4 linked regions of the Caenorhabditis elegans genome follow. The protein of the gene in region 2 purifies or fractionates together with the protein of the main gene of each other region. This does not show direct contact. Each region holds a gene or a part of one and is shown on either strand. Other genes may lie near its edges. The genes, in order: asg-2, F01G4.6, cox-4 and rpl-15.

Evidence for each region.
Region 1: the proteins of F01G4.6 (region 2) and asg-2 fractionate together in Caenorhabditis elegans (co-fractionation; one large-scale study listed by BioGRID). This does not show direct contact.
Region 3: the proteins of F01G4.6 (region 2) and cox-4 fractionate together in Caenorhabditis elegans (co-fractionation; one large-scale study listed by BioGRID). This does not show direct contact.
Region 4: the proteins of F01G4.6 (region 2) and rpl-15 fractionate together in Caenorhabditis elegans (co-fractionation; one large-scale study listed by BioGRID). This does not show direct contact.

What each region holds. Positions count from the first base shown.
Region 1 is NC_003284.9:6,839,543-6,845,000, reverse strand, and holds asg-2 (putative ATP synthase subunit g 2, mitochondrial), read right to left. Parts: upstream 3,744-5,458; 5' UTR 3,743-3,743; coding exon 3,638-3,742; intron 3,560-3,637; coding exon 3,440-3,559; intron 3,198-3,439; coding exon 3,105-3,197; intron 3,058-3,104; coding exon 2,980-3,057; 3' UTR 2,880-2,979; downstream 1-2,879. Other genes in the region: C53B7.3 (DUF7107 domain-containing protein), read right to left, coding at 1-9, 102-162, 209-232; glr-6 (Glutamate receptor ionotropic, kainate 2), read left to right, coding at 4,386-4,452, 4,496-4,657, 4,705-4,840, 4,913-5,149. UniProt on the Caenorhabditis elegans protein: Mitochondrial membrane ATP synthase (F(1)F(0) ATP synthase or Complex V) produces ATP from ADP in the presence of a proton gradient across the membrane which is generated by electron transport complexes of the respiratory chain.
Region 2 is NC_003282.8:11,146,371-11,152,767, forward strand, and holds F01G4.6 (Phosphate carrier protein, mitochondrial), read right to left. Parts: upstream 2,832-6,397; 5' UTR 2,590-2,831; coding exon 2,355-2,589; intron 2,312-2,354; coding exon 2,190-2,311; intron 2,147-2,189; coding exon 1,418-2,146; intron 1,370-1,417; coding exon 1,292-1,369; downstream 1-1,291. Other genes in the region: pigq-1 (PMT_2 domain-containing protein), read right to left, coding at 1-86, 135-225, 272-419, 474-576, 621-759, 808-872; pfd-1 (putative prefoldin subunit 1), read left to right, coding at 3,745-3,852, 4,155-4,300, 4,353-4,452; C08F8.2 (ATP-dependent RNA helicase SUV3 homolog, mitochondrial), read left to right, coding at 4,627-4,851, 4,923-5,162, 5,208-5,362, 5,409-5,528, 5,578-5,656, 6,064-6,153, 6,197-6,337, 6,383-6,397. UniProt on the Caenorhabditis elegans protein: Transport of phosphate groups from the cytosol to the mitochondrial matrix.
Region 3 is NC_003279.8:13,656,483-13,662,214, forward strand, and holds cox-4 (Cytochrome c oxidase subunit 4), read right to left. Parts: upstream 2,647-5,732; 5' UTR 2,630-2,646; coding exon 2,498-2,629; intron 2,447-2,497; coding exon 2,317-2,446; intron 2,266-2,316; coding exon 2,000-2,265; 3' UTR 1,689-1,999; downstream 1-1,688. Other genes in the region: sac-2 (SAC domain-containing protein), read left to right, coding at 1-77, 756-1,320, 1,367-1,657; W09C5.12 (Leucine Rich repeat-containing domain protein), read right to left, coding at 5,391-5,633, 5,677-5,732.
Region 4 is NC_003282.8:652,245-657,946, reverse strand, and holds rpl-15 (Large ribosomal subunit protein eL15), read left to right. Parts: upstream 1-3,370; 5' UTR 3,371-3,375; coding exon 3,376-3,547; intron 3,548-3,585; exon of another isoform or gene 3,586-3,718; intron 3,719-3,744; coding exon 3,745-3,881; intron 3,882-3,916; exon of another isoform or gene 3,917-4,045; intron 4,046-4,103; coding exon 4,104-4,409; 3' UTR 4,410-4,467; downstream 4,468-5,702. Other genes in the region: K11H12.8 (Growth hormone-inducible transmembrane protein), read right to left, coding at 1-85, 578-805, 1,220-1,325, 2,000-2,250, 2,304-2,367, 2,416-2,550; Putative bolA-like protein K11H12.1, read left to right, coding at 4,545-4,610, 4,657-4,773, 5,557-5,700.

The sequences.
Region 1 (5,458 bases), on a different chromosome or scaffold from region 2:
AACTTCTGTCTGAAAAGTTTTTTATTTAACACTCTCTATTATATTACTCTCTATTATCTATTCTATTATCTATTATCTAACAACTCTATTATATTACTTACAAGAGTTGCTATAGCTTGGAGTTGATGAATAGTATGTGGCAGCAGAAGCAAGGCCAAAAAGCTGAAATTGTTTTAATTAAAAGGTTTTTATTGGATGGAAAACTCACTGCAAGAAGAATGGTAAACTGCATTTTAGACTTGGTGTGGTTTATCCCAGTCACCTCTGACCTTTTTATACTTGTCCTTTTTTCTAGGCGGTTGTTTGTCTTGGACTCGATAAACATGTGCCTGTGGCTCAGCGTCGTCCAAGTAAACACATGTTTTGCCAGAAAAATCTCCCAGTTTACAAAAAATGTCTGCCAAAGGGTACAGAGTCAATAAACGTTGATAAGTAGTCGTTGATAAGTTCACTTAAATTATTGACTTTTTCGTGTTGTTTGGCCCGAGTCACAAATACCGCTATGTTTACATTTCGCTTACACTGCGGACTATAGTTTTTTTTGTTTGAGTTAATGTTACTTATTATCACGAGAAACTAAATTAATAGATCGAGCAGATTCCGAGAATAGATTCTATCCGAAAGATTAATAAAGTTGTTCTATTTCGATCACATGCTTTTAGAATGTAACATCTGGAGTCACGGAATCTTCCGATATTGCTTTATAAATTCAGTTATTGTTATTTTACTCGGAAAGAATGATTCATTGTTCACACTCAGAAACCACAGATTGCAGTGACAAACAACTCCGAGAGATGTTTGTCAGGTAAGCGAAAGATTGGCAAAAACCGTTTACATTGTGAGCAAACTTTTTTTCGGCTCGATTAAAAAAAATGCAAGTACAGCCACCAAACGCGAATTTTTTTTTGGTGGAATCTACATGGAATGGAGTTTAGATAAATAAAATGAATCGATTTTAATTATTAGGTCTCCAAATAAGTTCCGGGTCAAAAATCATAACTTCTTTCGCCTTTTATCGATTTTCTTGGAACTATGGGAATTTATGTTATCAACTATGATCTTTCATTTTGATATGGTCACAAAAATTTTTGACCACTAGGAATTTTTTCAAGCATTTTCCTGATCTCGCTTCTTTGCAGCTTTGAATTGAGGTTTATGTGCGGACTTCGCTTTGTTTAAAATACATTGTAAGAAAACAACAAAAGTTTGGAAAAAAATCAGTCCAAAAATTTTTTTTTGGTCGGTGGTCAAAAATTTTTTTATTTTTTTCAAAAAATTTTTTTTCGAAAATTCTTGATTTTTCATACAAAAATGATGTAGTCATGTGTGAACTATTTTTACAAATACAAAACATTTTAACTAAGTTCGTCACACTCAAATGATAATAGAAAACATAATTTTTTCGAAGAATATTTTTGAGTTTTTTGAGTATTTCTCGAGATCCAATTTTCAAACTCAAATGTTTTGTATGTTTAAAAATAGTTTACACATGGTTACATCATTTTTATACTAAAAATCAAAAACTTTCGAAAGAAATTTTTTTTGAAGTTTTTTTGACGGCCGACCAAAAAGAATTTTTTTGGACGGATTTTTTTCCAAACTTTTGTTGATTTCCTACGATGTATTCTAAACATAGTAAAATCCGCACACAAACCTTAGTTCAAAGCTGCAAAGAAGCGAGATCAGAAAAATGCCTGAAAAAAATGGCTTCGAGTTAGGGCACTCCGGGTGGTCAAAAAATTTTGTGACTATTTCAAAATGAAAGGTCATAGTTGATAACATGAATTCCCAAAGTTTCAAAAAATCTATAAAAGGCAAAAAAAGTTATGATTTTTGACCCGGAACTTATTTGGAGACCTAATACTTTCACAAAAAATTCACGAAAAACCTTTTCTGCATACCTTTATGTCCGGCACTGTAATTAATTTTTGAAAATATTTGTTGACGTGCAACTGTTCATGAACTAGGATTGATAACATGAACTGTTGGTGAATTTACATAAAATCATTATATGAAAGAAAGGAGAAAGTGTGATTTTCATTTAAGAAAAAGCTTGCAAAACTAATGAGACCTGCATACTGAATAATATATAAATCTGAGAATTTTCTTCCGAGATGGCAAACTTTTGGGTGACTAGGGTTCTATGGAAACGAAGTATTCAAAATTTCACAGGATCCAGTAGGCATAGTGGGGTGTATCATAGGGGCAAGGATCAATAGTGACAACCTTTTCTCAACTAGTTTTTTGTATGCATACATGTATATATTTATTTTGCAACTGATTTCGGCCATAATTCACTGAAATAAATTTGTAAATATGCCAAAATATTGCTAATGTGCGGTGAAATTAATTTTATGAATGTGAAAGGCATTTTGTCACTGGTTAGTGAACATGATTTTTTTTTTGATTTTTTCATAACTTTGTGGCTTTCTCATCTCTCTATTTCATATATTTTGATATGAAATAGAGAGATGAGTAAGCGCGCAGAAAAGTTATAAAGGGGTGGTACAGGGGACCAAGTTTACCCTTAAATCGGAAAATTATGAGAAACACCAGACTTTTGGTGATATTCTCAAAAAAAAATCGATTTAGGATTATTCCCTCCTGTATAAATGCAATTTCAAATTTAAAAAATTTACTTTGTGAAAATTGTATTTTAGTACACTTGCTGTACGAATATACTTATAAAATATTGACTACGGTGTAGATGTTATTCTTATTTTTATACTCCCCATGCATCTATGTACATATGCCAACTTATTAGAGCGTACTCTAAAAGTTTCTAATTTAAATTAATTTTTATTGCATTCAGAATGTCTTCCTTGAATGTTTCTCAAAACACAGCCAAATTTTATCAAAAATTATTAGAAATTTTTATATTTATTTTTTTCATCAATACTTCATTTTACAAACTCCAAAATAAATCTATCAAAAATTTGTCGATATCAAAAACGAGCCGCTAAACATAAGGATAACAATTTAGTTCTCGAGAGCAGCAAGAGCCTCTTGTTCTTTGACGGTCTTCTTGGTGGACTTGGAAACGTAATCAGCAGGAACCTACAATACGATATAATGACTAATAAAAATAATGCATGACAACTTACAAGATATCCGAAGATGTAGCGACGTCCAATCATTTCTCCAACGAAGAACCAGAAGACAACCTCAAGAGTGACGGCAGTGTAGACAAGTCCTTCCTGAAAAAATAAACGTTCCGGTTAATAAATTTCATCGTTTTGAAGTTTTTGATAACCAAATATGAATAAAAATTTGCATTAGTAATATCAAGTGAATTCGTTGTGTTTATTTATATATAGAGCAACACTTTAATGTTTGAAACGTTTAGTATGGTAATGTGAAAGTCTAGTATAAATGTTCTGGCTAACTATTCATAAAGTATATTTTTTAACTTTAACTTTTTTATTTAACAAAAACTCACTCTAATGCTCAAATTCTTGTATCCTCCGGTCTGGATGAAGCTCTGGACTTTGGCCCAATCGGCCTTGATGGCTGGCCAGTCAGCTTGACGTGGTGGAGCAAGCTCGTGCTTTCCTACGGCCTGTAGTGTTTGATTTTTTAAATTTCCAACATTAGACGGTGTCCAAAGACATAAATACACAGAGACAAAAAACTGTACCTTCAGAATAGCGAAGCGACGTGGAAATTGAGCATGTTGGTGGCGGTACAAAGCCCCAGTGAGGTTGGCGATCTTCTCAAAAAATCCAAGTTTTGGAGCAGCCATTCTGAAAAATTAACGTTATTTGAAACGAAAATTCATTGACACAAACAAAAATTGACGGAAAACACTCAGAGAAACACGGCAAAATATCTAAAGTTTTAAAACAAATTAATAAGTTGATTTAAAAGCAAAAATTAGTGTATTTTTACCCGTAAATGAGATGTGTACCGCCTTGAATTCCCAGAGACTTGCCTCTTCGTTATGAGACCTTCTCAATGGAGCGCAATTGCACATGTTACCTCTCCATCTTCCTTCCCATCTTTTGGCCGGCACAGGCGGGAGTATCGATTTTATTGAAGACGGAATTGTTTTACAAGGTGCAAATGTACAGATTGTTTTCTTCTGGAAAAAGTACGATGTTTTAAAACAAAAATATGACATTTATTTTTTAATTTATTAAAAAAAGCTTTAATAAAAGTTTTAAAAAAAGACATTGAAAAATATTCTTAAATGTTTAATTTAACATTTTTTTTTATCTTTCAAATTTCTGCTAGAACTTTGTATTTTGCTTTTTTCAACGCCCACTAATCAAAGTTCTTTTAGTGCTTGTGACAACACTATGGGAAAATCAGTCAATTCAATTATCGTCTACACATCAACCAATTAAGAATAAAATGAAAGAACTTGCTGAACAAATGCATTTGAAATGCTCAACATCTTCAGATTTCTACTATTATCTTTCCTAGGAACAGGTGTATCATCAATACGGATTGGTAGGCAATCAAATTGGGTTTCATCAGCAAAAAAAATTTTAAGGATTAATAACGAGTCACCATTTGGAGCATTCTGTACGAACCGCCGTGAATATTATAGTACCAAGAATCAATGAACAAATTGTGAAAACGCGAGGAGCTTGCTTTATCACTCACACATCCTTTATTGCACTGAAAAATTCGCACGAAGATTTGAACACAAAAAGTAAGGTAATGGAAAAAGTTCTCACATTTTTTCTCCTCGATTTTTAGTATGCGATCTCGCAAACTCAGAAGTCAGTGTTATTATTGGTGTTGTCGACAGAGAGAGTGGATCCATTATTGAAGAGCAATGTGCAGAGTTGAATATACTATTTATCCACTATTACTGGACACCCGGATATCAAAAGTAACATTTTTTAAAATTTAAATTTGATAAAAGCTTTTAAAAAGTATTAGCAATGTTTACTTGCTTTTTCAGAAAACAACAAACATCACTAAATTTGTATCCATCGATGGAATATTCTCAACTAATGGAAAGACTTATAAATCTGTGGCGCTGGGATAATTTCGTGTACATTTATTCAAATTATGACGCTCCGAAGCAACTTATCGAGACACTTTCTCGACTAGAAAAGAGCCCTGCTCTGCTACGTGCTCACACTTTGGATGACAGTATGATGGCAACAGCCTTGGCATTACGAGATACTTGTGACAGGTAGGTTTATTAATAGCACGTGGATCTTAACCGAAATATGAATTGGAACATGCCTGTTTTTGGAATTAAAAAGTCGTATAATAAAAGTTATATTTTATAGACTCAGAAATTATCAGTTATCTCCTGAAACTGAAAATAGTTTCAGATTTCGTTTTCAAGTGTTCATACTTGAGCTCCGCAGCTAAAGTTTCTTTGAAACAAAGCTTCTTTAACTTTTATACGTTTTGTTTTAAAGTCAGAGGCTATTTTAACTTCCTTTCATTGTATGTATAAATATTAAATAATTAATCACGTGTTAACTAACACGCA
Region 2 (6,397 bases):
AAGTAGACAAAAATTGTAGGAAGAATGAAAAGAAGGATGACGAACAGAGAAGTTGCCAGGAATTGCTGACGAGTGTCGAGGATTACCTGAAAATATTTATACAAAATGACATAGGTATACCAGAAAACTCTTACAGTGTCTTTTCGTTCTCTCAATGGATTCCACTTCTTTCCCCTCACAAGGCTCCAAAGAACTGTTAAAGTGTAGTAACAAAGGTAGCACAATCTGAAAAATTAATTATCTTTTAAAATCAATTGAAGTTCCCGATTACTTGGTAGCGTAGGCATCAAAACAATTGAAGTGCAAGAAAAATATTTGCGAGAAATCGTAAACCATCGCAGAAAATGTTGAAATGCCACCGATCAAAGAGTATGCGATGAACCGGAAGAATGCATCAGAACGAAGAAATCCAATGAAAGCTGAAAAATCATTATGAAAGTTGAATGCGAATTTCTGGAAACAAAAGAGCATACTTGTCCATAGATAAATGTGATAAGTGAAGAACCATGCAAGAGTTTCATTTACGGGAGTATTAAGTTTAAGTCCAGCTGGATTACTTCTCAGCCATGTTATTGTCTGAAAATTCTTATTGAAGAGCATAAAGTTCAAAATATTATTACTCCGTTCAAATTATCAGCAACATTTCCAGTTTGATCCCAAAATTCATTGACTGTCCATTCCCAATTTGGTGTCCAAATATTCCATAAGTAAATTGAAAAAGCAACATCAAGAAGCAACAGACGTGTGAAGGAAAATGTTCTAGAAACTAAGTTTCCGTATAAAATATTAATATCTCAGGAAACAAACCGGACGAGAAGAATTTTTGCTTCTAATGTCCTGATTAAAACCACGTTTTTAGTAATTTTATCCATAAATTCTGAAAATCACGTTATTATCAATTTTTTTTATTGGAATTCAACGGTAAAACGAGCGAGGGTGGACTGTATTAATTGAACTACCCAATTGAGGTCTTTTCTTGAGAACACACACAAATTAACACCAACGTATACAATATTCTTCGATCGGTTTTGTTCGGAGGAGATTTATAAAAACACTGCCAGAGAACTCATCTTTCAAAAAAGAAGACATCGGGATTGAAGGACAACTTGAAACAAATGAAGGAAATGATAATCACACTAAAACCGAGCATGGTGCACTAATTAGTTATAAAAAATTAAGAGTGAGAGTAGGACCGAGAGAAAAGAGACAAATTGGGTGGATTTCAAATTAATACAATGGCTAGAACAATCGATTAAGGAAGGAAATCAAAATCATTATCTAGTCAGTGCAATTATTGTTGAGCGGCAAGCTTGGCCTTGAGGGAAGCTGGCATCTCTGGTGGTGGTGGGCGTGGAAGGTTGAGGGCGACCTGAATTTTTTTTATTAATTAAGAAAAATAATACCGATATAAACTCACTTTAACAGAATCATAGATGAACCATTGAAGAGCTGTGAGGGTTCCGATCATGATAATACGTGGCACAAGTCCCTTCCAGACTCCGGCGAAACCAAGTTTCTTGAGGATTCCTCCGGCGGTGGCTTGAGAGTCTTGGTTAAGCTTGGAAACAACAGTGTCGGCTGGGTGAGATACGATGGCGCAGAAAACTCCGGCGATATATCCAGCAACAAACGTGACGACAAGTTGTTCAGCCTTGGAGCACTCTGCTCTTGGCTTTGGAACAACGTATTGGTAAAGGGCCTCAACGGTCTTCTCGAAGCAAGCGAACTTCATCATGGTGTATGGAATCTGTCTCATCCAGAGTGGTGGAAGTCCCTTGTAAAATCCGGTGAGTCCTTCGGCCTTGTAGATCATTGGTGCACATCCACGAAGAGTTGGTGGAGCTCCTGGTGAGGTTTGGATACGGACCTTGGTGGCTTCCATTGGGGCGAGAAGGATATCAGCGAAGAACTCAGCTGAGGCGGAAGCAGCGAGGTAAAGAGAGGTTCTGTAGAGATATGCGTTCTCTTCTCCGAGCATGTCAGCGTAGACGTTCTTGAAGATCTCGTAGAATCCGAATTTTCCAAGTCCTTGTGCGGAGTATCCAAGGAGGGTTGGGGCCCATCCCTTTACAAGAGCACGAGCTCCTTCCTCGGCGATGGTGGTCCGGAAACCAGTAGCAATACCGGTGTACTTCTCTGGATTCACCTAAAAGAAAACAATTAAGTTGAATAGATTTTTCTCGTAATACCTGAATTCTGCACTTGACAAGATCAAGTGGTACGATGGCAGTGTGGGTGATTCCACAAGAAAGAACTCCTCCGAGAGCACAGTAAGCGTAGTACTTGCCACTTCCGAATTCAACTTGTCCAGCTGTAACAAAAAAACATTAAATTGTATAGTTCGAGCGATAAACCTTCATATGAAGAAGCTACAGTGGTGACAACACCAACCGCGACCCGTGCAACATATTGAGTGGACCCGTACGCCAGCCAGTCCATTAACCCGTCAACTAGTTGGGTAACACCCCAAAAATAAATTATAATCCACATGCATAATATCACTATAATGCCAGCCCTTCCAGTTTGGAGATGAGGAGATTTGGCTCGAGCTATGAATGGCATAGCCTTCTCTTCCGTTTCGGACGTCATTGATAAGCGATTATAACAATGCTTATAATCCCGCCTAGGCATGTGGTAGCATAGAAATAACGTGGAAGATAGTAAATGATCCACGTGAAATTTACGTGTGAACGACGTCGAACGGCAGACAGATATTCGATTCTATGTCTTTTTAAAACGCGGTTGCCACGTTTTGCAAAACGAGGGAATAGTCTGTCTCGATTCTCTTTTCGCGAGATACTATCTCCGCCGTGCCTCTCGCAGCCCTCGTCAATTTACGTGTGCACATGCGCTGCACGGGAAGTGGGAACAGAGAATGCAGGTAAAGAAAAATTCGGATTGTCATTACCCCTCCTAATAAAAAACTAAATTCTAGAAAGTAATCTAAGTAGGACGTGAATTTACTATTTTACTGACAATATTATGCTAGCTAATATATTAAGTTTTTTTTTTAAATTCAATTAATACTTACGAGCTGAAACAGCACTGGCGCAGTTACCCGACCTGACCGGCAAGCTGAATGGGTTCTGCTTCGATGATTCGGCAAGCTGGCTGAACACGCTCATGGTGGTTACCTGGAAATTACCGAAATTATTGCCAAACATTTATATTCACACGAAAAATTAGTATGCGGGAAGTATAAAAATGTAAAAGAGACACTAACAAAAATATCACAGATGATTTTGCAATATAATGCTTCAAAAATCTACAATAAAACTCAAAATTCAAGAAATTCGTAGAATAACTGATAATTTATCACTGGCGGGCCTGCAAACCGCCTCAAAAGATATCATGGACGTTCTCTGAGCCATGGTCGGCCCCTACCGTAGTCGTCTCCCGTCACTTTGCTATATGACCTGCACATCTAACTCGATTCTGGCAATGCGCCAGCAAACATTTCTACTCGATTTTTCCATTTTTATTTTAAAATATGACTACAACATCTAAAATTCTGTTTTCTAGCATTATTATTTTATCATTTAAAAGGTGTATCTCATTTTTTAACATATATAAATCATAAAATAATTAAAATTTGTGGATAAATAATCCATCTCTCAAAAGTTTATTCCAAATCAACTTTTCAAAGATAATCAATTTGTTTTCTTTGCTTTTCTCGTGATTTCTTTTAACGCAACTCTTTTTTGTCTCAATTATTAAATCAACTTTCATATTACAACTTCAGAAATGGCCGACGAGGAGATCTCAAAAGCGTTTCGCGACTTGCAATTCAAAACCAATGAAACACGAATGCGGATAGTTCAAGGAGAACAAAATAAGAAAGTTAACTATCAGGTGAGTATTTTTGAATATTAAATATTGAAATTTGATATACTTTAAATATTATGAGAAATGTATGACATCATAACTTGATAACATAGAAACTAGCGAGTTTCACCTCTTAGCTTGTGCCTAAGTCACAAATAGTCACAGCTAGTCACAACTACAATCTAGCTTTGCCAAAAAAGTTTTTGCTGTACATCGGTATTTTTTCATTACACACATCCATTAAAAAACACTCAGCATTTTTAATATTTAAAAACATAAAAGTATAACTTTTTCTCTTAAGTAACGCTTCTAATAACTAAATTTTTCAGAAAATGAGGATCTCAGAGAGCACAAAAAAGAACTTGGTGGATTTGGATGAAAACCTCAAGTACTATCGATCTGTTGGGCGTATGTTCCTGCTGACCGACAAACCAGCTGAAATTTCCAGACATGAAGCTGAAGCTAAACAGTCAAAGTAATTTCATTCTTCCATTCAAAACAGTTTACACAACCAATCCCATTTTCAGAGAGAAAATTGAAGCTATCGAGAAGCAGAAAGACTATTTGGAGAAAGGATTGGTGGAGGCTGAAACGAATCTTCGCGAGCTGATTCAAAGTAGACGCTGAACCCTCGGGAATAATTTCTATTTTGTGTGTAAAATTGCTTTATTGTTTACGTTTGCATCATTTTTTCGAATGAATCTCTTCTGGCGTACGTATAAACGTTTTCAAAACAATTTCTGGATTTCCGTTATTTCTATTTCTATTTCAGCGTGTGCATACTTCTATCAAATATTACAGATGAGAAGGGCGTCTGGTGTTTTACGAGTTCTGGGAGGCCTAACTCAAAGATGTTCAACCAGCTCAACCCCATCCTCCTCCAGATTTCCAGCAATGAATTCTAGAAGAAAAAGGAATTCTGTGAGAAAAACTGCGACTATTGAGGATATTGTCGAACCTCGAAAAGTTAAACATGTAACACAAACAGCTGCGGGAATGGGAGAATGGATTGGATCACTAGATAATGTAAGAACTTATTCGATCTCATCAAAAATGCCAACTCCAGCATCTTCCAAAGCTCATTTTTCAACTTTCAGACAAACATTCACATGTCCCTTGATGAATTTATGCGCCGTCCAATGGTACGCCAACTTGCCAAAGAAAACGGGATCAATGATAAATTATTCATGCGATCTTTCAAATCATTCAGAGAGTACTGTACACCAGAAGACCTAAATTCTGTTGATCCTGGACTTCTTATTCTATTAAGCGATATTTCAAAAGGAACAAAAGACTGTGAAATGCTGTATCCGTTCTTTTTAGATCATGCCAAACAGGTTTCCGAAAACTATCTTAATTGAGAGTTTATCTGAAATTTTGAGGTTTTTCCCCACTTGGAAGCGATGGACGATTTGCGAATCATTTCCGATCTCACAAGACCGCACAATTGGTATCCTGAAGCCAGAAGTGTGACAAGAAAGATCTTTTTTCACGCTGGACCAACGAATAGTGGAAAAACATATCACGCTCTTAAACGGTAATTATCTGAAACAATAAATTGATTTCCAAATATTCTATTTCAGTTTTGGTGAGGCAAAAAGTGCAGTTTTCTGTGGACCACTGAAATTACTTGCTGCTGAAGTGTTTCATCGAACAAATGAACTTGGAATACCATGTGATTTAGTTACTGGAGAAGAGAGAAGGTAATTGAATATACATTTTCATAATTAGTTCCAATTTGTGTTTTTTAAGGTTCGCAAAAGATAATCATCATCCAAGTCAACATCTTTCATCTACAGTTGAAATGTTATCAACACAAATGCGAGTCGAGGTTTCAATTTTTTAATTTTTCAAGACGCAAAATTCGACGATTTTCCGCCAAAAATAGATTATCCGGTCTCGACGCGACAAATTTTTGTTAAATTCGAAAAGGCGCGCGCCTTTAAATAAAGAGTACTGTAATTTCAATAATTTTTCTCTCAATTTGCAAATAATTAATTTGCTGAACTTTGTGGTTTACATTAGTATTTTTGAGTTTAAATTAGAATTTTGTCGGTATAATAAATACAAAAAATCGATATTTAAGCCGGAACTAGAGTTTGAAATTACAGTACTCTATGAAGGCGCACATCTTGTAACATAAAATTGTCGCGTCGAGACCCGGTACAGTCTTTTTAGAGCAGAGATCAAAAAATTTAGCGTCTGAAATAATATAGTTCAAGTTCATGGAAAGTTTAGGTTGCGGTAATCGATGAGATTCAAATGCTCCGCGACGAGCAACGTGGCTGGGCATGGACAAGAGCTCTTCTTGGAGCAGCTGCTGATGAGGTATTCAAATTTTAATCTTACTTATGGATATATTCAATTTCAGATTCATTTGTGCGGAGAACCAGCTGCGATTGATATTGTAAAAAAGTTATTAGAACCGATTGGAGAAACAGTTGAAGTTCGTTATTATGAACGGAAATCACCATTAGCAATTGCTGACAAAGCTATTGAATCATATTCAAATGTAAGTTTTTAAATGATTTTTCACAAATGTATATTGAAATTTCAGATTGAACCAGGAGAT
Region 3 (5,732 bases), on a different chromosome or scaffold from region 2:
CTGAAGGGAGATGTGACGAGGAATGGAGAGCGGAAGCTGATGGGGGTCATGAAAGATGGATATAATAGTGCATCGAGGTACGGGAAGCTAGAAAAAATGGCGAAAATTCGATTAAAATCGACTTGGTTGAGGCTCACACTACAAACTACAGAATTCTGACAGCCTCAACCAGAAAATTAGTTTTGGGTGAGGCTAACACTACAAACTACACTCTTTGTGAGCCTCACCAAAGTTGATCATAAGTTATTTTTTTCGAATTTTTCGGTAAAAAATCACATTTTTTTCCTTGAATCGAGTATTTTTGAAAGAAAAAATAACAAATTTGGCTGGAAAAATCGATTTTTGTTCTAAAAACCTGAAACTTTAAACTAAAAAAAGTATTTCTGCCCTAAAAAAATAAGCATTAAATAGTTTTCCGAGTTAAAAACACCAGAAAATCACTAGGAATATTGGTTGAGGCTCACACTACAAACTACAGAATCTCGTAGCCTCAACCAAGTCTCTGCCTCAACCAAATATCAATTTCCGCCTCAAATGTTCATTTTCAATACACTTTTTTACAATTCAAGAAAATAAAAAAGCACAAAATTCACACTACAAACTACAGAATCTTGTAGCCTCACCCAAATTTTGTAGTTTGTAGTCTCTCATCCTCAACCGAATGTCAATTTCCGCCTCAAATGTTCATTTTCAATACATTTTTTCTAATTCAAAAACATTCTCACACTACAAACTACACAATTTTCCGTTTTCAGATACTACCTAACACACACCAAAGATGCTCAACGCCAAAAAGCCATCAATATAGTGACAGGACAAACGGAAGCCGACGAAAATGCAGAAGAAGAGGAAAATGAGAAGGAAGAAGAAGAGAATATCAGTCGAATGGTGACTGAAACCATACAATTCCTGGTTCCAACCCAGCAAACTGTCATCGCTGGCTGGGGATTGATTAACGCATTCCAAAGTAGCGATGAAATCGACACAGTCGTCATATTAACCCGCTCCAATTTGTATATTGTAACCTATGAAATCGATGGAGAAAAGATGACTGATGTGCAAATCGTTGCGCTGGAAGATATCAATACTATTCAAACAGGAACATCTGGAAATAATCGACAATGTGCTCGACTGGAAACTCTCGAAGGTGTATTCATTTGGAGGCCATCTACTGTTCGGTTATTTAATAATACTGCAATCCGTCTGAAATCCTTGGAAGAAGCCAATGAGTATATTTCGTCGGTCGCTGAGCAGATTCAGGTTGGCAGGAATATGCTGACTGGCGCTGAAGGTTCAGTTGTTCCGGTGGCAAAGATTACGGTTTGGGTGGCTTGAGATTTTCAAAATCTAGAATTAGAAGTTTCAGATCCCTCAAATGTCGGTTCATAGAAAATCGATGGCTGCGATGGGTGCACTGTTCGGGAAGATCAAGCGAGTTGGGAAGCCATCCAGTCTATCGAAAAGTGCTTCCACAATTTCAACTGCTCAACTTCCAGAAACCGATGGAAACGAATCGGACGCATCGCAAAAATCGGATCACTTAATGACGAAAATCCTGAAAATGTCACAATTTAAATCAGATTCTCCCCAACCCGAACCATTTTCCTCGCTACTACCCGCTATCTCCGAGTGTCAAACTAAAATTTCACTTTTGTAAAGAAATAAATAAATTATTGCCTCCTGGATTTAACAGCAACATTCAATCTATTTATTTCTGGTTTACAGGGCAGCCCATCTCTCAAGAAGCCGAACCACTTGGAAAATTTGAAGAAAAAATTGGGGGAGACGAAAGAATTGGTCAGTGCGTTCGACCGCTAGGAGAGATTTACAGCTTATCTAGGTTTCAGATGAGGGTTGGGGCGATGAAGAAGAAGGTAAGCTTGAATGTTTGACGAGAGAGTGATGGGGCGGGGGGAGCGACGACAACCAAGAGAGAATTATAAAAACGAGAAAGAAGCTACAAAAAAATTTTATTTTATTTCTGCTGAATCTCTATATTTTACTTCCACTTCTTGTTCTCGTAATCGTAGTGTGTCGGTGCACCGAGGAATTGTCCCTTCTCGAGCACAAGCGCACGCTCAACCTGAGCCTCCTTGTACTCGTTCTGGAAGGTTGGCGGCAGTTCTGGGTACACGCAGACGTTGAGAAGAACAGCATAATAGGTGCAAAGTCCGAGCACGGAGAGGATAACGGCGGAGATCACCTTCCAGTATCCGGTTGGAGCCTCGAATTCGGACAGCGTTTGACGGAAGCTGTAGCGGTACACTGAAAACTTAGCAACATTTTCAAGTTTGTCGAGGAAAATTGAATACTAACAGAGCTTCTTCTCCTCAGCAGACAAGTTCTTCCAGTCGGCTTGCTCCTTGGCGCGAATTGGGGCAATCACACTGTCCTCCTTGCGGAATCGAATAGCTGGATACCAGTAGTCGAGACGATCTTGGTAGATCTGAAAAATAAATTAATTAAATTTAAAATTTATAAAATAAACAAGGCGTACGTTATCTCCATTTGCTCCGTATCCGACGAGCTCGCGTCCAGCGGCCTTATCGGGTCCCCAGTAGAATTCCTGTCCTCCGGACAGACGGGCGGTGGTGTGCACTGCGCGGAGAGCCAAACGTGGCAGCATCATTTGACGAGCCAACATACCTGAAATAAATAACTGGTTTATGGGTTGAAAATGCAGGAAAAACCAAAAAACAAAAGGTAAATCCGGCGTCAGTGTGGAGAAATGAAAAAAACATACTCAAATGAACTATTTTCATAATAAAAATGAATTTCTAAAGTAATTTCTAAAGTGGCCGACGGAAAACACCGATGGAAACGTGGAAGAGGATAGTTTTAGTCAGAAACGAACAAACAACAGAACACACGGGTGCAATATATTAATAATCAAAAACCGTTCTCTCTTCGTGTTTTAAGGATTAAACTAGCCGGAATACGAACAAACGATGGAAATATGTGGTTCCTTTTAATTTTTGCATAAAACTTGGCAAAATCTCCAGAAAAATCAATAAATTGGCAATGTAACAACGGCTCGCCGTTGCGGGCTGTTCACTCCGTAAATCGTGTTGACTGAGTAATCAACGTTTTACACGCGTTCAAGTACGCAGCCAATTGAGTCCAATAGAGCGCTCTTGCTTTTTGAATCTTTTGGGTGAAAAATTGAGAAAAACTTTTTATAAAAAAATTTATAAGCTCAGGCTTTGGATTTTCGCTTTTTGCGTCGAAAAATCGCCTCTACGGTGCTGGAATTAATAATCGGTGGGATTTTCGCAGGAAATTCTCTGGAAAAATCGATAAATTGGCGATTTTGGCCCAAAAACTCTGAAAAACGCTGGATTTTTCTGAAAAAGGGCTTTAAATTTGTCAAGATGAGCGGAAGAATCTGAAAAATCGATTAAAAAACTCAAGAAACTGGAAAAAAATCGAAAAAATCAGTTTTATTGCGTTTTTAAATGAGTTTTCCCAAAAAAATTGGAAAAAATACGATTTTTCATTGAAAAATTGAATAAAAATACAAAAATTAGGGGGTTTCTCATTATTTTTCCGAAAAATCGATAAAACGTTGCCAAAAAGCTTCAAAAAGCAGATTTTTAGCAGTTTTTCACTGAAAATCCTCAAAAATCCCGACTTTTCCGAGAAAAAACAACGAAAATTCGATAATTTCTTCCCAAAACCCTTTTTTTCTAATTTCTCACAGAAAATTCTCAAAATTTAAAAATCTACCTATTTTAAACAATTTTTCTGAAAAATTTGAGAAATTTCATGTTTTTCGCCAAAAAAAAGCCATTTTTTTACGAAAAAGTGCTCTAAAAAATCGATTTTTCAGCGAAAAATCAAAAAAAAAACAGCTGTTTTTATTGATTTTTTTTCCCTAATAATTGTAAAAAATACCAAAAAACCCTCAAAAATCACGAATTTAGCTTCCAGATCGGTGGCCAATTGACGAATATCAACAAATATCAGGATTATTATATATCCGCAAAGAAAATCAATATTCCCGGCGACGAAATTCTCGAGATTTCGTCCGGTAGAGCGCACTCGCTGATTCGAACCAATTTGGGCGTTTTTGCGATTGGTGATAATAATTTTGGGCAATGTGGACGGAATCCTGAGAATATGGATTATGTTGTGGGCTCTGAAGGTACAATATTTGGGATTTTTAGCTAAAACTAAGGCTTTTAGGCTTTTAGAGCAGCTTTTAGACCCCAAAAAAGCTGAAAATCGAGCTCAGCGTAGTTTTTTACCCCAACACTGCAACTTTTTCCTCACGAGGGACGAGGAAAAGTGGTTTCTAGGCCATGGCCGAGGGGCCGACAAGTTTCAGCGGCCATTTATCTTGCTTTTTTTCCGCGTGTTTTCTTTCGTTTTTCACAGCTTTTTCCCGTTTTTTCTTAATAAAACTGATAAATAAATATTTTTTGCAGATGCTAAAACAATTTCCAAGTAAAAAAATCATGTATTCAGTGGGCAAGCAGCGGTGAAAGTGGGCATTGTAATATGATGGATTACGGGAATACAAAACCTAAACTTTTTCTGAAACATGATACATATGCTGCTTAAATGCTGAGACTACCTGATTTTCATAACGAGACCGCTGAAAAAGTCGAGATTTTCGCACAAAAAGTTGAATTTTGGAAACCTCAAAACTTTTTCAGCGGTCTCGTTATGAAAATCAGGTAATGTCAGCATCTAAGCATCATATGTATCATGTTTGGGAAAAAGTTTGGGTTTTGTATTCCCGTAATCCATCATATTGCATTGACCACTTTCACGCTGCTTGCCGACTGAAAACATAATTTTTTTACTTGGAAATTGTTTTAGCATCTGCAAAAAGTATTTATTTATCAGTTTTAATAAGAAAAAACGGGAAAAAACTTTTCCTCGTCCCTCGTGAGGAAAAAGTTGCAGTGTACTAATTCAGATCTTCGTCAGACTCGAAATTTTGATGAAACGTGCGGATATCGAGTAATACTACAATCCAACGGATAAAAAATCGAAGAAGTGTTCCTCTATTCGAATTTTGAAGCAGTTGAAGTAGATATTGAAATCTTTTACTATACAACGAGAAAATTGTGAAATCAATTGATGTGGGAGATCTGAAGATCGGAAAAATTTAAGATTATACAATTAAAAAAACGAGGAATGAAAAAATGATAATTTTAAGAGGGGCAAATTAATCGAGCTTCTACTCTTGAAAATATCCGCCCCGATCTCCGCGTCCACCGCGTCCTCCGCGTCCAATACGCATCCCATCAGGCCCACGAGGCTCATCTCGATTGAGAATCAAGATCTCGGCTTCAACGTCGGCTCTACGGAACTCGTTAACCTCGAGATTGGGCTGCAGCAGTACTTGAAATACTCGGGCTGCATTTTCCTGTGGAGTCCTATCATCGATAAGTGTGCAATGGATTGTCAAAGAAGCCAGATTGGGGAACTCTCGGAGGGGAATGATTCGATCGATTGAGTGGATTGTAGTTCAGTGTCAATGTCGTCAACGATGGGCAGCTGGTCCTAAGTTGCTCAAAATCCGCTTCTCTAAGATTGTTTGAGGAAGCATCGAGAACTTGAACACGCTCAAAAACATTCATTCCTCGGAATGTTGCGATTTTGACGTTCGAAATTTCCAGTGACTAAAAATACCATGTTTGATTTAACGGTGCCTAGACAACTCACTGTGATGTTTGGATGACCGGGTAAGTCTTGTATGTTGCCAGATACAGCATTCCGAA
Region 4 (5,702 bases), about 10 Mb from region 2:
GCCTTTTTGACGAGTCTCTGCGTATCATAGAGAAGGAAGGCCGAGAAGAGGATGAGACCACCGTAGACGACAATCGATGCGAGACCTGAAATAATTTTTTGAAGAATTTTTCACACTTTTGCAATTTTTTTTCGCTTTTTTCGTGTGGTTTTTCTGAATTTCAGAGAATTTTGGATTTTTTTTGCATTAAAAAATCGAAAAAATCGCATTTCAAACCCGGTTTGTTGTGTAGATTTACGCAATGGTCGTGTACTCCACGTGGAGAAGTGGGAATTTTTCGGTTTCAGATTTTTACGATTTTTCTCTATAAAACTGAAATTTCATAGCAAAAACTGCAGAAAATTGTTGTTTTTGCGATATTTTAATCTAATTTCTGAAGAATTTCCTAGATTATTACAAAAATCGCGAAAGCGACGAGAATTTTAGCTGAAAACTTCAGATTTCAGCCATTTTCAGTGCGAAATTCATCAGAAAAACGTTTTTTCTGGCATAAATGCCATTTTTTTTGCACATTTTGCAGCAAAATTCGATATTTTCAGCCGAATTTTCGCATTTTTCTCCAAATTTCACTACGTACTGGCTCCCAGAGCTGATCCAGGTGGCAAGAAGAATGCTCCAATGTTGGCGACAAAAACAACGCCAAATCCCATGGCAAGTGGTCCGGACATCATCAAAAACTTCTCCGATGGAGCGGTGATGGCGGTGGCCGAGAGGCCTCCAACGATTCCGGCCGTGTACCAAGCCGCACGAGTGAGAACTGGGCCGGCCATGAAGCACAGCGGCGCGAAGACGGCTCCGAGAACACCTGAATATAGAGGAAATTGGATGAAATTTTATATATATAATTATATCAAAATTTCGGAAAGTTTCCAATTTCGGCTTAAAAAATCTCAAATTTTGTCAATTTTTCCGTCTCGCAGCTATTGGAAATTGATTTTATTCGGTTTTTTCGGTCCTTTTTGCATATAAATATAGTTTTTCTTACAATATATTTGGTTGATTTAGGTACATTAAAAGCTAGCCGAGCCAAAACTTATGCAAAACAGTAGAATAATCCTACAACAGTAAATTTCCACCCGCTGCAACACGGAAAAGTTGACAAAATCAGAGATTTTAGCCAGAATTCGACCAATTTTTCATCGAAGTTCGGCCTTTTTAGTTTGTAAAAATCACAAAATTGATTTTTTTTTTCAAGTTCTCCGTTGAAAATCCGCCGTACCACAGTGAAGAGCCCAGGCGAGATGCTTGGCGACGGTGCTCTCGTAGTCAATTGATCTGGCGAGCATTCCCGAAGCGATCATTGCAGCCATTGTTCCGAAGAGTGACTGAAAAAATTGATTTTTATTAAATTTCCGATAATTTTTAAAGTTTTTATTGCTTTAAAATTTTTAAAAATGACCTCCAACCTTTTATGGAAGTTCAAATTGTTCGAAAAGTGGATAAAACTAGTTAAAATCATTAATTTTCCGGGTTTTTAATTGATATGCACACAAATTTGAACCTAAAAACCAGTAAAATCGCTGCAAAAACAACAGAATAAGAGATTATTACGACAAATTTCAATTTTTCGTTAAAAAATTGATTTTTTGGACCTGAAAATTCCATTTCTCAGTCATGAGTAGATAAAAATGCAAAAAATTTCTCGTTTTCCAAGCTTTTTATTAGCCAAAAATTGATTTTTTGGTCCTGAAACTCGCAATTTTCAGTCATGAGATGACGAAATTTCGAACTTTTTTTGCAATTTTCACTCAAAAATGCGGTTTTCTAACTGAATAAGCCCAAAAAAAAAAAACGGGAAAACGTTAAAATCAGGCATTTCCAGCGGCTTTGAAGCCTTTTTTAATCGATTTTTTGGTTAATTTTCAGTCGGTAAGCACACAAAAACCCGGGTTTTCTGACGAAATCGGGCATTTCCAGCGACTTCGAAGCCCATTTTCCGGGATTTTCAAGGGATTTCACAACGAATTTCGCTTTTCTTCGGGGATATTTCGTCCCTTACCATCATTCCTCCGCCAGCGGTCAATCTCATAATCGCCGCGCTTCTGGAAGCTGCAACTCCGCTGACAGCAGTTAAAGCGAGACTTCCAGCCAAATAAGCATACGTTGTGCTGATTCTTTCACGGACGTATGATGGCCAAATTGCGCTTTTTTGGAGAATACTCTGCTCTTTTGAGACGAGTCCGTAGTACATGAGAGCTCCAACTCCGAAGACGGATGCTCCAGCGAGAGCATAGGTTCCGTAGACGAATGCTGGAAATATATGTAGGCCTTTTTATAATTGAAAATTCCAGTAAAATCCTCACGTTTTCCAGTAGTTGGTCCCAAAAGTCGCTCCTTCAGCGTTGGTCCAGTGCGAACTCCGAATCCCTGAACTCTTTAAATCGTTTTCTCGTCAAAAATTATTGAAAAACTCACTTGATTTACTCGAGAACCGAATCCGGACTGCCCTCCTCCATAACGAGCTGATTTTGCGGCGGTGTTGGCGAAAAATCGGACTCCCGAGGTGAAAGTCGCCACTTTTGGAACGGTCATCGTGAGACGAGACAACATTTTCTGACTGAAATGATGAGAATACGACGAGAAAAGTGGAAATTGTGTTTGTTTGTGATGAAAACAACCGAGGTCACGTGGGAAAAAATGATGCAACGAGGAGTTATGAAATTTAGAAAGTTCTAGATGTTTTAGAATGTCTAGCGAAAATAACGTAGCCTAAAATAAGGGATAAACCATTTATTATAGCTTTATGCCGGATTTCCAAAGTTCTACAAATAAAAACCACATTTTAGGGAGAAAAATGACTTTTTTATTCGATAGAAACCGAATATTACTGATTTTATAGATATTTTTCGATTAAATATAATGTTTTATCAATTAAAAATACGAAAAAACCAGATAAAAACCTGAAAAAACCTGTAAAACAAGGAAAAACATATTAAAAATCACAAACAATTCGTGTCGATTTACGGCGGACGAGGCTTGGCACACGGCCAGCCGCCGGACTACGGTGTTTGCATTGTGGAGCGTGTTTCGAGTGTATGCGAAGTGTATGAGAGCGTCTTCTCATTTCACACACGAGTTTTGTTGGCCTAAACGATTTTTTTGGATTTTTCAGCAATTTTAGTGAAGTTTTCCTAGGTTTTTCATGAATTTTGTTAAATTAATTTAAAATTTTAATTTTTACTGGCAAAAAATCAGTAGTTTGTTATTTTTACGCAGAATTCCGCCCAAAATGTTGGGACTTTGATGAAATAGATTTTCTGTCAGCCAGAATTTTAAAAAACTATGTTCCATTCTTCGATTCACTTTTCTTTTTCAACAATTTTATTTATTCAACCCCTCAATCTCGTTATTCTAACCTTTTTTCTTTCAGAAAACATGGGTGCATACAAGTATATGCAGGAAATCTGGCGCAAGAAGCAGTCAGATGCTCTTCGCTACTTGCTCCGTATTCGTACCTGGCACTACAGACAGTTGAGCGCCGTCCACCGTGTCCCACGCCCAACCAGACCAGAGAAGGCTCGCCGTCTCGGATACCGTGCCAAGCAAGGTAAGATTGTAAAGATTTGAATAAAATTTTAAAAGCTACTTGCCACAATGTCTGGGCAAGGTGCCCTGCACCCGCTTGAGCAACCTAATCCATTGATGGCTATATAAAATTCATTGAGTAATCCCTGTTGAGTTATATAGAACTTTCCAGTTTCATATCATTGATACAATTTATTGAGATTAAATTTCATTTTTCAGGATTCGTTGTCTACCGCGTCCGTGTCCGCAGAGGAAACAGAAAGCGTCCAGTCTGCAAGGGACAAACCTACGGAAAGCCAAAGACCCATGGAGTTAACGAGCTCAAGAACGCCAAGTCTAAGCAAGCCGTTGCTGAGGTGATTACTACGAATTAAATGATTAGATGAAATTGTTGCCTCAGTGTCTGGGCAAAGCAGACTGTTTTTAATAGTACTGACTTAATCCACTGATGGCTATAGAAAAACATTGTGTAATCCCCGAACACCTTGTGGTGTATTGGATTCATGACATTGTGACAATTTAAACAAAATTTTCAGATATTAGCATTTACTTTTCAAAGTTAATTCGTTGTATTTCAGGGCCGCGCTGGACGTCGTCTTGGATCCCTCCGTGTTCTCAACTCCTACTGGGTTGCTGAGGACTCCACCTACAAGTTCTACGAGGTTGTCCTGATCGATCCATTCCACAAGGCTATCCGTCGTAACCCAGACACCCAATGGATCACCAAGCCAGTTCACAAGCACCGTGAGCAAAGAGGACTCACCTCTGCTGGACGCAAGTCTCGTGGACTCGGAAAGGGATGGCGTTTCTCTGCTACCCGCGGAGGATCCCAAGCCAAGAACTGGAAGAGAAAGAACACCAAAGTTTTCCACCGCAAGCGATAAATCTTGTTATTTTATTTTGTTTTGGGCTTGTTCCGAAAATGAAATGGTTGTTATCAAACCTAATTGTTTTATCTTTGTATTTTTCACATTAAAAAAGAAATAGTTTTTAAAATCACAGTCTTCATGAAAAGAGTAATGAGCACATTGAGCGAAGGCCCAGTAGCACGTCTTCTCAAGGAGAAGCTGTTCGCCGCGTTCCAGGTAAACTGATCTCTAAATATGTCGGAAGGAAACTGTTGAATTCTAGCCAAAACATCTCGAAGTGGAATGCGAGAGCCACCTGCACAACGTTCCAAAAGGAGCCGAGAAGCACTTCCGAGTGCAAGTTGTCAGTGATGAGTTCGAGGGGAAACGTGTCATCGAGGTTGGTGGAAAAAGATCGATACATGGATTAGTCGAACACATGGAAAAACTCGCTAAAGGCCGTGGAACGGCACTTTTTCATAGGCTTTACCAATTTTTCAGCTAAAACATTTGCTTTTTCAACATTATCGCCAATTTATTCCTTCTTAAAAACATGGATTTGTCGATTTCGTGGCTAAAAGTATGATATCTGGTCTCGACACGACAAGTTTTGTTAAATACAAACGGGTGTGCGCCTTTAAAGAGTACTGTAATTTCAAGGACTCGTTTCTGCGCAATTTTCATCGACTTTTCATAATTTTTCGATAAAAATTATTTATTTATTTAAAAAAACCCATAACAATAAAAACACATAAATTCGCGAGAAAAACTATGAAAAATCGATAAAAACTCGGTAGAAATAAAATTTTGAAGTTACTGTATTTTTTTAAAGACGCACTCTTTTTCCAATGTAACAGAAAATTTAGTTTCGAGGCCGCCGGATGATACCGCATTTTTGGAGCAAAAATCGCAAATTTTCGCTAAAATTGGCGAAAATAGTTCAAAAATTTGGAAGTTTCGTGTTTGCGGCCCCAATACCTAACGAGACCCAAATTATGGTTATTATAAGAACAAAAAATTCTGTTGACGTGCAAAATATCTCGTAGCGAAAACTACAGTAATTGTTTAAATGACCCCACTGTAGCTCTTGTGTCGATTTACGGGCACAATTTTTGAAACGAATTTCTATGGTTTTCACAAAATTTGGAAGCCCGTATTAACCCAAAAAAATGTTGATTTTCAGAGACATCGTCTTGTGAACACGTGTCTTGCCAAGGAGCTTGCCACGACTGTCCACGCGCTTCGAATCGACGCTATTCCAACCAGCAAGTGGGACGGACAGAAGCAAGAAGACAGTCCGACGTGCCGTGGTGGATTTGGAAAATAACA